3 linked regions of the Diceros bicornis minor genome follow. The protein of the gene in region 3 interacts with the protein of the main gene of each other region in a biochemical or structural test. Links are inferred from orthologs where the notes say so. Each region holds a gene or a part of one and is shown on either strand. Other genes may lie near its edges. The genes, in order: NFKB1, NFKBIB and IKBKB.

What was found.
Region 1: of the proteins of IKBKB (region 3) and NFKB1, one has a biochemical effect on the other in vitro, tested with the Homo sapiens proteins (4 studies listed by BioGRID and IntAct). The link is inferred for Diceros bicornis minor from reciprocal best matches to the Homo sapiens genes IKBKB and NFKB1.
Region 2: of the proteins of IKBKB (region 3) and NFKBIB, one has a biochemical effect on the other in vitro, tested with the Homo sapiens proteins (2 studies listed by BioGRID). The link is inferred for Diceros bicornis minor from reciprocal best matches to the Homo sapiens genes IKBKB and NFKBIB.

The regions. Positions count from the first base shown.
Region 1 is NC_080747.1:84,940,247-84,943,995, reverse strand, and holds the start of NFKB1 (nuclear factor NF-kappa-B p105 subunit), read right to left. Parts: upstream 2,735-3,749; 5' UTR 2,232-2,734; intron 1-2,231.
Region 2 is NC_080773.1:13,008,090-13,011,838, reverse strand, and holds the start of NFKBIB (NF-kappa-B inhibitor beta), read right to left. Parts: upstream 2,917-3,749; 5' UTR 2,868-2,916; coding exon 2,689-2,867; intron 1-2,688. Other genes in the region: SIRT2 (NAD-dependent protein deacetylase sirtuin-2), read left to right, coding at 3,305-3,320. UniProt on the Homo sapiens protein: Inhibits NF-kappa-B by complexing with and trapping it in the cytoplasm.
Region 3 is NC_080768.1:39,338,935-39,342,683, forward strand, and holds the start of IKBKB (inhibitor of nuclear factor kappa-B kinase subunit beta), read left to right. Parts: upstream 1-754; 5' UTR 755-893; intron 894-1,549; 5' UTR 1,550-1,567; coding exon 1,568-1,672; intron 1,673-3,749.

The sequences.
Region 1 (3,749 bases), on a different chromosome or scaffold from region 3:
AGGTCCTGCTGATCGAATAATAGTCCAAGATCCCTGTAGCTGCCAATTCCTTATCCAGACCTTCTATCTACCACAAGGAGTAACCTCTGATAGTCAAGGTGGTAACTTACTTCATCAATTATCTGGAAGGCTGAAAGCAGTAGTAAAAACAACCTCCATAAATGTTAGTTTCTTAAACTAGCTTCAATTTGTTCCAAAGAACATGAGAAGAGAAATATGAGGAATATGATCACTAAAACTAAAATTCTGCCATTTCAGACTAATTGAGCTTTTACCAACTACAACTCAGTCATCACAGACGATCTTGTTTAAGAGGTAGAAGTAAGAAGGAAGTGCAAAGATCAAAGCAGTGCTTACAAAGGGGAACAACGATTTTTGTATGTATATTCCAGTATTTACTAACCGGGTCTGAAAAACAGGGGCATTTATTCAGCCCATGTGAACGCCAACTGCAGAACATAAGACAAAATTGAAATTTCAGAACAAAGATAATAGAGTTTCAAATCACCACCGATCCCTAACTGCATTATACTATTTCCTTTTAAAAGCCTTTCAAACAGGTTAGAAGGGGTTTACTGCTGACGGCAAGCAGCCCTTCAGTGCCAGCACGAAATCTCCACATAATGAGTCTTTCTTTGGCTCATGTTTGTCCAGGAGACTGTGGTCCAGGAAAACATTCTATCTAAACAAGCCCCAGAGGGCACTGAGGAGTTGCAGGTATAACCAGATGGATGAATAATTTCAGTAGATTTCATTTTTCCGTCTATTATATATGTTCTTCTCACCTTAGCAATTCAATTACGTGATAAACATAAAATGTTACAGGAAACAAATCTTTTATTTCCTGTCTTCCCAAGTTTGTAAGCTCAAAAAAATACTTTGCTTTAAATTATTTACATAATTTCTTTAGTGCATCAAACAGTAAAAGGATTCATCTCTAGAAAGCACAATATTAAAATCAGGAAAACAACATAGTTCAGCTAAGGGCTTTATTTTACTCAAGATTCCCTTTCAAAGTTTTAACAAACACTAATGCAATTTAAACTACTCAAGAATACTCAATTGAAGTATTCTGCTAGGAAAACAAGCACTGAACATCTTGATTTCAAGCTTTAGTGTCTACCAAAGAGCAACAGTTTGTAGAAGAACATTTGTATGCCAGAGCTATTACATGTTTTAGTAATACCAAGGCATTTTCTCAGATTATGGGCTTTATAACAAAAATTTTAAGCTAAATATAGTTCTTTAATAAGCTGAATGCTGAAAAACCCTACTCAACAAAGTCCATGAAAACGCCTTAAATCTTGACAATCAAATACCGTATCATTAAGTCCCATTTAAGTTTCAGGTTAGACCAATAAATCAGGGCAAACATCTCCATTCCGTACTTATTTTTAAAGACCACAGAAAGCTTGTATTTAGGACAGGCTTTGTTTATATCATTATGTTTGCTTTAGAGGTCAGGCACAATACATGGTGCCGTTGTTCAAGTGTTTCACATAATCAGAGTGTCTAAAAAGTGCTCTAAGTAGGTAATTTCTTTTCTTTCTCAAATGCCAGGCACTGTAGGATCAGCACCAGACCCTCCTTGTTTTCTTGAAGACTAATGTAGGGTCCTAGAGTAGGTGAGTTGAGTATATTATGTCGTGTGTGTGTGTGTGTGTGTGTGTGTGTGTGTGTGTGTGTGTAGGGGGGATTCTTTTTGGAGTAAGGGACGAGGGCATCAGGCTGTCCTCCTCAGTCTAGAGGGCCGAGGAGGGCTCTCCCAGCCTAAAGGACGGCCATGCACTTCTGCTTTCATTTCGTGAACCGCCCGGCGGTGAAATCTGGTTCAGCACTGCACGCAAACGCACCCCCTTCCCCTCGCTCCTCGGCGCCGCCGAAGCGCACCTCCACCTCAAGCCGCCCCTAGCAGGGGTGGGGTGGGGATAAAGCAAGTTTGCAAGAGTTCGCCCCGGTTCCCGGGCCCGCCCGGCGCGGGGACGGGAGAGAGAGGCCGGCCAGGCAGCCGCGGCCCTGCGGCCGACCGGCTCCTGCGCGGCCCGGATGTGCCTGTCTCCCTGTCGCCAGTCCCATGTGCCTCGCCACTCCTGTCAACCTCCTCCCGCGGGCTGGCCCCGCGGTGGCGCCGGAATGAGGAAGTCCGAAAGGGGCTGCAGGGGCTGCAGCGGGTGGGCGGCGGGCCTCGGGCACCCGGCCCGGCGAGGCCCCCCTCGCCCGAGGTGGCTTACCCTGGTGGCGGGTCCGCGCGGCCTCCCTGCGCCGGGGGCTCCCTCCGGGGGCGCGGGCCTGAGCGCTGCGGAGGGCAGAGGCAGCGGCCGCCGGGGCGGAGCGGGTCTGGTGCGGGCCGGGCGGGTCGGGCCGGGGCGCGGTCTCGCCGGCCAGGCCAGTCAGCGGCGCGCCATGTCCGCGGCGCGGGCGGAGGGAGCGCGGGCGCGGGAGGCCGCGGCGGGGAGGCCGGGCTGCGCGGGGCCGGGGCCGGGGCCGGGGCGGGCGGCGGGCGCGGCCGAGGGCGGCGGCGAGAGGCCCGAGCGCCGGGAAGGGCAGGGGAAGCTGTCAGCGCGCCGCCCGGCCGCGCGGGTGGCGAAACCTCCTCTTCCTGCCCCGGCCCGCCGGTGCACTTCTCTCTCGTTCTCGCTCGCTCACTCTCTCACTTCCTGGCTGGAAATTCCCACTGACGTCGAGAGAGCAGACAGACAGACGGACAAGCGCGCACGCCGCGGGGGCGGGAGGTGGGGTCGCCGCGGGGGTGGGGGAAGCCCGCACTGGTGGGGCGCGCGGCGAGGGGCGCGCGTGGGGCGGCGCGGCCGCCGGGTCCCGGCGGAGCCCGCTCCCCGCCGCGCTCCCGAAGGAGCCACGGGGCTAGAGCGGCGGGACGCCCCCTGGTAGGCCTGCGGGGCCGGCTGTCCCGGGCAGCAGGCGGCGGGGCGGCTGATAGGGTCGGGCGGTCCAGGGCCCCTAAGGACGGGCCCAGGCATCTGGAGGGGATGATGGGTCGGCACGGGGCCAAGCATGCTGTGTATAAAAATAAATCCCATCTGTATAGTCCATGTAAGTTGTCTCAGTTACGCTCAAATCTCTTCACAGATTAAACTGGAATTTCTCTATCGTAACTGAATTCTGTCCAGTGAGGTCTGAACATCTACTGGTTGTTGGTGAGATCTTAAATCTCCTGGTTATGACTGTTATTCAGAACTTTCATCTACAGGGCATTGTCAGGCCTTATGATAATACTGTGGATAGAGTTATAGTGATGGTGGTAGCAATGGTTTTGGTTCACAGCTCATAAAGAAATCCTGATCTGGCAGAAGAGAGATTTTCTCTTTTTAATGGAGAGACTGCTCCTGGAACCCACGGACAGATGTCTCCGGTGACCACCGTCCACTAGCATTGAGCTTCTCTACGTGCCAGGTGCTGTGCTAGGCGTGGGCTGGGGATCCCTTGGAGTAGATTACCTCCCCAATAAGAAATCTTGAGTTGGAATCGGTGCTTTAGAACTCATTGTCTCAGTGCTGAGTTCAGTGACAACTGTGTAAATTTAACTTGAAAACATCCGTAATCACGGGATCACTAGGCAGTGTTGCTGTGGCTTTAGATTGCTACTAGCAAGTTCTGCATGGTCCTTTCATGCCCACTGCCTGGCCTCTCCTCTCCCTCCCCAAGGTTATAAGAATCTTCTTGGTGGAGTGTTGGGCAGAGGAGTAGAGATGCATTTATTTGAGTCTGGGATGAGTCTCTGCAGGGACCTC
Region 2 (3,749 bases), on a different chromosome or scaffold from region 3:
CATAAGTATAAAACTAATAACAAGCTGATAAACTTAAACATAACCGTATCAATAATTAAATTAAATGTAAACGGCCTAAACACTCCAATTAAAAGGCAGAAATTGTCAGGTTGACTTAAAAAGTAAAACTCAACTCTATGCTGCCTACAAGAAACATTCTTTAAATATAAATATTAAAAAATAGGTTAAGGGGGCCGGTCCCGTGGCGTAGCAGTTAAATGCATGCGCTCCGCTGCTGGCAGCCAGGGTTCGGATCCCGGGCGTGCACCGATGCACTGCGTGTCAGGCCATGCTGTGGCGGCGTCCCATATAAAGTGGAGGAAGATGGGCACAGATGTTAGCCCAGGGTCAGTCTTCCTCAGCAAAAAGAGGAGGATTGGCATGGATGTTAGCTCAGGGCTGATCGTCCTCACCAAAAAAAAAAAAAAAAAAAAGGTTAAAAATAAAAGGGTGGAAAACGATATACCAGGCTAACACGAGTCACTCAAAAGAAAGCAGGAGTATTTTCTGATCAGACAAAGTAGATTTCAGAGCAAGGAATATTAGCAGGGATAGAGAAGGTTATATCATAATGATAAAGAAATCAATTAATCAAGAGGACATAATAATCCTAAACATTTGTGCCTCTAATAACAGAGCATCAAATTACATGGAGCAAAAAGGAGAAATAGACAAATCCACAATTATTGTTTCAGATTTCAATACCTCTCTCTCAACAACTGATATAACAAAGAGACAAACTCAACAGCAAGGATATAGACTTGAACAATGCTATAACCAACACAACCTCTAACTGACATGTAAAGAACACTACACTACCAATAGCAGAATACACTTTCTTTTGAAGTGTACACACAACATTCTGAGCCATAAAACAAGTCTCAATAAATTTAAAAGGATTCAAGTCATACAAAGTATGTTCTCATCCACAATGGAACTAAATTAAAAATCAATAAAAGAAAGATATTTAGAAAGACTCCCAGATATCTGGAAACTAAATAACATGCTTCTAAATAATCCACCGGCCGAAGAAGAACTCAAAAAGAAATTAGAAATTATACTGAATTAAATGAATTGAAATGAAAATAAAGACACACAGGGGCCTGCCCAGTGGCGCAAGTGGTTAAGTGCGTGGGCTCCGCAGCGGCGGCCTGGGGTGTGCTGGTTCGGATCCCGGGCGCACACTGACGCACTGCTTGGCAAGCCATGCTGTGGCGGTGTCCCACATAAAAAGTGGAGGAAGATGGGCACGGATGTTGGCCCAGGGCCAGTCTTCCTCAGCAAAAAAAAAAGGAGGATTGGCAGATGTTAGCACAGGGCTGATATCCTCACAAAAAAAAAAAAAAAAAAGAAAAGAAAAACACACATATCAGAACTTGTGAGATAGTGCTAAAGCAGTACTCAGGGAAATTTACAGCACACGACACCTTGATTAGAAAAGAAGAAAGGTCTCAAATCAACAACCTCAGTTTCCACCTTAAGAAACTAGGAAGAGAAGAACAAATTAAACCCAAAGTAAGCAGAAGAAAGGAAATAATGCAAGTCAGAACAGAGATCAATGAAATAGAAAGAAAAAAAAAATAGAGAAAAGTAATGAAACCAAAGCTGGTTCTTTGAGAAGATCAATGTTTACTGAGTGCTCCTATGGGGAGACAGGAGAAAACACAACACACAAACCCAGGGACAACCCCCCCTCGGCTTTTACAACTGTTGTTCCTTCTCCCTGGACTGCTCTTCTCCCCAGACAATCTACTTGTCTCATTTTCCCGCTTTATTTTTGTCCAAAGAACTTACTGCTTTCTAACATACCACTTTTCTCTCTTTTTCTTCTTTCATTTCTTTCTGTCTTAGTTTCTTCCCGTCTTTCGCTTCTTTTCTCTTTCTTTCTTTGTGCCTTCCTCCATGTCTTGTCTGTCTGTCTTTCCTTCTGTCTCCCTTTCATTCTCTCTTTCTCTCTCTCTCCCTTTCTTTCTCTTTCTTTTCTTCTCTCTCTCTCTTTCTCTCTCTCTTTCTTTTTCCTCCCTTCCTTCTTGTCTGTCTGTCAGTCTGTCTGGCTGTCCACATACCTCCACTAGAATGTATGCTCCACAGGGCATATGTTTTTGTCTGTTTTCTTCTCTTGCCTTATTACCAGCACCTCAAACAGGGCCTAGAACATGGCAGCGTTTGATAAATATTTGTTTAACAGATGAATCCCTGCTGTCACAGAGCCTATATTTTCTCTTTGAATGTAAGATTTGAAAACTAGTGCTCAGAAGGTGGGATCTTAGAGTCAAAGGCCAAGTATTAATTGGGAAATCAAAGAAAAAGGCTCATAAATCAAGAGCTAAGGATCAACGATCATATTTGGAGATTAGAGGTCAGGAAGGGCCTGCCTTAGCTACAGTTCTAACAAAGGTCTCCGGACTGGGGTCAGGAAGGTTAAATTGACTTTTGAGATCAATGGATAGGGATGTGGAAATCTGAGAACCTGAGTTCAAGAAAGAACGGTCAGAAATTATTGGATTAGGATCAAAGCTGGAGAGGAAATTGGTCTTATTAAAGGTTAGGACTTGGGGGTTAGAGATCAGGAAGTCAAGCATCAGAAGTCAGATTTAGGATGAGAGGTTGGGAAGCCGGGATCAGAAACTAACAGGGAATCAGATGTCGGATCCTAGGGCCCGGTTAGGCAACCTAAGGTTCACTCACGTGTCCCCATCCTCAGTGACGTATCCGAAGACGAGGGGCGCCCACGACAGCCCTGGGCCCAGCTCCGCGCCCAGCCCCGGTCCTCCGGGGGCCGCCGCATCCGGACCCAGAGAGCCCAGGCCGCTGTCGCACCATTCGTCGGCGTCCGAGGCTTTCCCCAAGCACGCGACCCCGGCCATGGCCCCCGAAGCCTCAGGGGCCCCCAGCGGCCGCCCGCCCGTCGCTGGGCTTTGCCTGGATGTCTGGCGCTTCCGCCCTGCGGGGAATTCCCCAACCCGCCCCCTGACTCACCCAATCAGCGTGGGCTAAATAGCACATGCCCCACCCCCGTACCACACTGTGACCAATCAGAGTATTCAGATGGACTGCGGCTCTCTACCCATTCCCACATTTTCCGGGCGCCCTTTACCAACATGGCTGCTGGCGCGGGGCACTCTGGAACTCGTAGTCTGGCCCTCGGGAGTCTTCATTACCTGAGAGGCTGCGAAAGCTTGTTTGCGGCCGCGATGGCTGCTGGGAGTTGTAGTTCTCTGCCCTATGTCTGTCCCTCCTGTTTCCGGTGCCGTCACGGGACAGAGCAGTCGGTGACAGCTCCTAGGGCTCCCGCCCCGCGTCCATGGCCGAGCCGGACCGTGAGTCGGGGGCCCCGGTGGGAGGGTCGGGCCGCGCCGGGGCCTGGCTGAGGGCTGCAGGCCCCGGGGCCCGAGGGTGGGCTTGATGGGGCAGCAGATAGGGGCTGCGTAGGGGGGCGAGTGGGACTCGGCGGGCCGTTGCTAAGTGATCCGTATTGCTAGGTCGGTGGGTTTCTGGGTCGCGAGGTTTTAAGGGTCCGTTTGCCACGTCCCCCAAGTTACCCATGATTGCGTGTTTCTCGCACCTTGGTCGCTAAGGACCTTCGTTTCTAAGGACTTAGGTTGCCGCGGTCCCGGTTGCTAAGGGTATCTGGTTGATGGAGGGAGCTGTAGGAAGCTAGGGGACCCCTATATCCCCTCCTGTCTCTTCCCTCTAGTTCCTGTGCCTCTCCTAAACCTACCATTCCCACCACGCCTCCTCTCCAAACC
Region 3 (3,749 bases):
AATATACTAACACACACACAACTCCTTAGTCTGCTAATATAACACCATAGAGAGAAACTCAATAGAAACTTTATTACAATGCCAGGTAGATGGGAGAGGAAAGATTCATCTCAGGCCTGAGAGCCTCTGCCACAATTTCCCTACATCACTGGGGCTGAAAACGTGCTTTAGTGTCACACTACTAGATTTTCCCCCCCTTTTCTTTATTTTTTCAAGGGGGGAGAAGGGGCTGTCACTTCTAAGGAGTACAGCTTTGATTTATCATTCTTGACACGGAGCCAAAAAGCCTCCAGACAAGGGGAGCGCAGCAGGAGGACAGGAGGCCAACGACACTTCTTGTAAATAGTCCCCAAATCAATCCCAGCGGGGGCGCGGGAAATTCCACCGAGTTAAAAGTCTAGGAAGCGGTGTCAAGTTCACCCCAGGAGGGCTGGGGTGAGGAAATCCCCGTCTCCCCTGTCCCAGAAAGCGCTCAGGTTGAAGTCATTTGTCTAAAGGGGACTCGGGCATATTAGGGCTCAGCTTAGGACTGCTCTTTTATCTCAGGGAGCACAGCCTGACCAACTTCGACAGGAGTTGTCTAGAAGCCGCACACCCTCCCGGGATCACCTGGGCGGGGGTCGCCGGGCGCGGCCGGCTGGCGCGGGCACGGGGCGTCGCCTGACCCCCCACCTTCCCCCCCTCCCCCCGCGGCCCCTTTAAGGGCCGGCCGGCCCACGTGCCTCTTGACGTCAGAGCAGGAAGTGTTTGAGGAAGTCGCGCTCCGCTGGCAGGTTTAAGATTCCCGCATTTTAATGTCTTCGGGGTGGTGCCCGAGACCCCAGTGGTGCCGCCCAGCCCCTGCCTCCCCCGCCCCGGGCAGCCGCTCCCCCGCCCCGCGGCCCCGCCGACAGGTGAGTCCCTCGGGCGGCGCGGTCCTGGTGCCACCTGCAGACCCCGCGTCGCCTCTGCCTCGGCGGGCTCGCACCTCCCTCCTCACTTGAGGCTCCTGAAGAAACTTGTGTGGAGTTTGAAAGTCGGGGGGGGGTGGGGTTCCGGGCGTGGAAGCGATCCTCTCGTCGGGTTGGAGTCGGGGGCCCGGGACAGCCCTGGCCAGGTGGTTCCAGGGGGCGGCTTCGAGGTGGGTGGCTTTGGGAGAGAGCCCTGATTCACTGGGACTGTGTGAAGACACGTGACCGCGGGGACGCTCACGGCTCTCCCTGCACCTCGGGCGGCGTGCCGCGGGGCTCGCGCCGCTGGCTGGAGTCCAGGCTGGGCTCCCCCGCCGAGGTCCTGGGCTGTGGGCCGTCATCTCCTTTGGGTGGCTTTCCTCCCTCCGTGCTTCCACAGCCGCTGAGGTGGGGGTGGAGGACGATGAGCAAGACAAAAGTTTGCCCCCAAAACCAAAAACCCAAACAGAGAAACTGGTTTATTTACAAAACGAAAATCAGCTCAGGTTCTTCTCTCACATTGAAGGGCAGTGGTCTCTCTCACCTTCCCCGTCCCTGTCTCCCAGAGTTGCATTTTGTCTCAACCTTAACCTTTTGTCCCCACCCCGAATTGCTTACAGAGTTAGCACCGCATCAGTATGAGCTGGTCACCCTCCCTGCCAACCCAGACATGTGGGGCCTGGGAAATGAAAGAGCGGCTTGGGACAGGGGGATTTGGAAACGTCATCCGATGGCACAATCAGGTAGGGGCTCTGTGCAGCTGGGAAGGGCCAGGGTCGGCAGGGTTTGGGGGTGGGGAACACAGGCCCCCTCTCGCTGCCTCTACCCCACGTGGTGCTGGATGGGTCAATGGGGCTCACCTTTGGCCATGGGCTTCTTGGGAAGGAGTGAGAGAGGGAGACTGGGAAGAGGGCTTCAGGGCTGCTAAGCTGGCTCTGGGTTAGTGGTCTCTGCGCTTTATTGACTATGCCACCTAAATAAATAGTAAAAAAATTTAAGCTTTCAGCCTCAATTATATATATTTTAAGTTATATATCTGTCCTAATATTAGACTATCATGTGCTAATCTATTGTGTACTAATCTATTACATGCTATAAAGTTTGGTATGCTACACTTCAGCGGCCCTGGATCGGTTCCCAGGCACGGACCTACACTGCTGGTCAGTGGCCATGCTGTGGCAGCGGCCCACATACAAAATAGAGGAAGATTTGCAACAGATGTTAGCTCAGGGTGCATCTTCCTCACGCAAAAAGAGGAGCATTGGCGACGGATGTTAGCTCAGGGCCAAACTTCCTCAGCAAAAACAAAACAAAACAAAACAAAAAACACAAAAATAAAAATTTAAAGGATGAGAATAATAAAATTTTTTAACTGTTTTAAAAATTAATTTTAAAAATATTTTAAATATTTACCAATTATAATGTCTTCCCAGTATTGTTTACAATACTTCACAGCACAAAATATTCTGATCTACGTGAAAGTGAGAATTATCGTTAAGGATTGTGGATGAAAATCTGTATTTCAAATAATTTTTATAATTTTGAATTATTTGGACCAATTTCTTTTTAGATCTGGTTAGTTCCTCGTTGTTTTTATTCCTTATGTGTCTGACATGAGTTTCTCACACTAGAAGTGTCACTTCTTCCATATTCCTGTTTGTGCAGGTGTTACACGTACTGAAACTCTCTGCAGGAAATCTCTTTAAGCCACTCATCCATTTTATGAGTGTTCTTTTATTAAAATTGCATAATACAATCCGTAGCTCTACCTCAGTGGGGCACATGTAATCCGCATCGCGTCCCCATAGGCCCCTGTCCACCCCCTGCCAGTGGAACGCCCATTTTCCTCAGGATACCTCGAGTACCAGAACTGGCACATGACCTTCTGACGAATGATATGAGGAGGGTGCCATACAGTTAGTATCAGAAAAGCTTAATTTCTTTTTATTTTCTTGGATCCCAGTCTTGGGTAACCCCTGGGGTGCATACACCCAATTTGGAGACCACTGCTCTGGGGAACCCTCACTCACCAAATACGTAATAGTAGCTTCCTGACCCAAACTTCAGACCCACTGAAGTCCTTGAAGGAAGGTGCCTGCTTTTTAACCAAGGGCGGCTGAGCACCTTTTGGACTGAAGGGATGGCAGATCACACGCTGCTTCCCAGGAGCCTGGCTGCAGCAATCGCGGAGGGTCATTGAGGCTACTGATCAGCCATGTTGAGGGTCATTCCAGTCAGCCATCCATCCACCGTCATCATTTAGTGGGAAGACATTCTAGGCCCTGCCTTGAGTGCTGCCAGCTCTGAGCAGATCGAATGACCCCTAGAGAAATAGGGAGCCAGAGCTGGAGGGCAGAGTACAGTTCTGCAGGCGGTAATTCTCACACCCAAATGGGAAGCTAGGCTTCCAGCAAACCCCGTGGCTGAGGGGGCCTAAGAAACAAAACTGGCTCAAACTTGTTCTAGTCAGAGTATAGTTGGGAGCCTAGCATTTTAACAGAGCAGCCAGATCATTCTACAGCCCTACATATACCTGGGCTGGACTGTTTCTGAATAGGCCAGGGTTTTTAGAGTCTTGACTATAGCAGATATCTTGCTGCAGCCGCGCTAGAGACGTCTCGGTTTCCTTTGAAAAGAGTTCTGTCCGAATGCGCCACGTATCTGTCATCTTTAAGTCAAAATGACCTCCATTTGCTCTCTGGGCTTGGAAAGCTGTTGTCAGATGAAATGTGTTTCTGGCTTTATAGATATGAGCCTGAGAGAGAGAGAGAGAGAGTGTGTGTGTGTATGTATGTATTAGTCTTCTAAATTACTACTTTC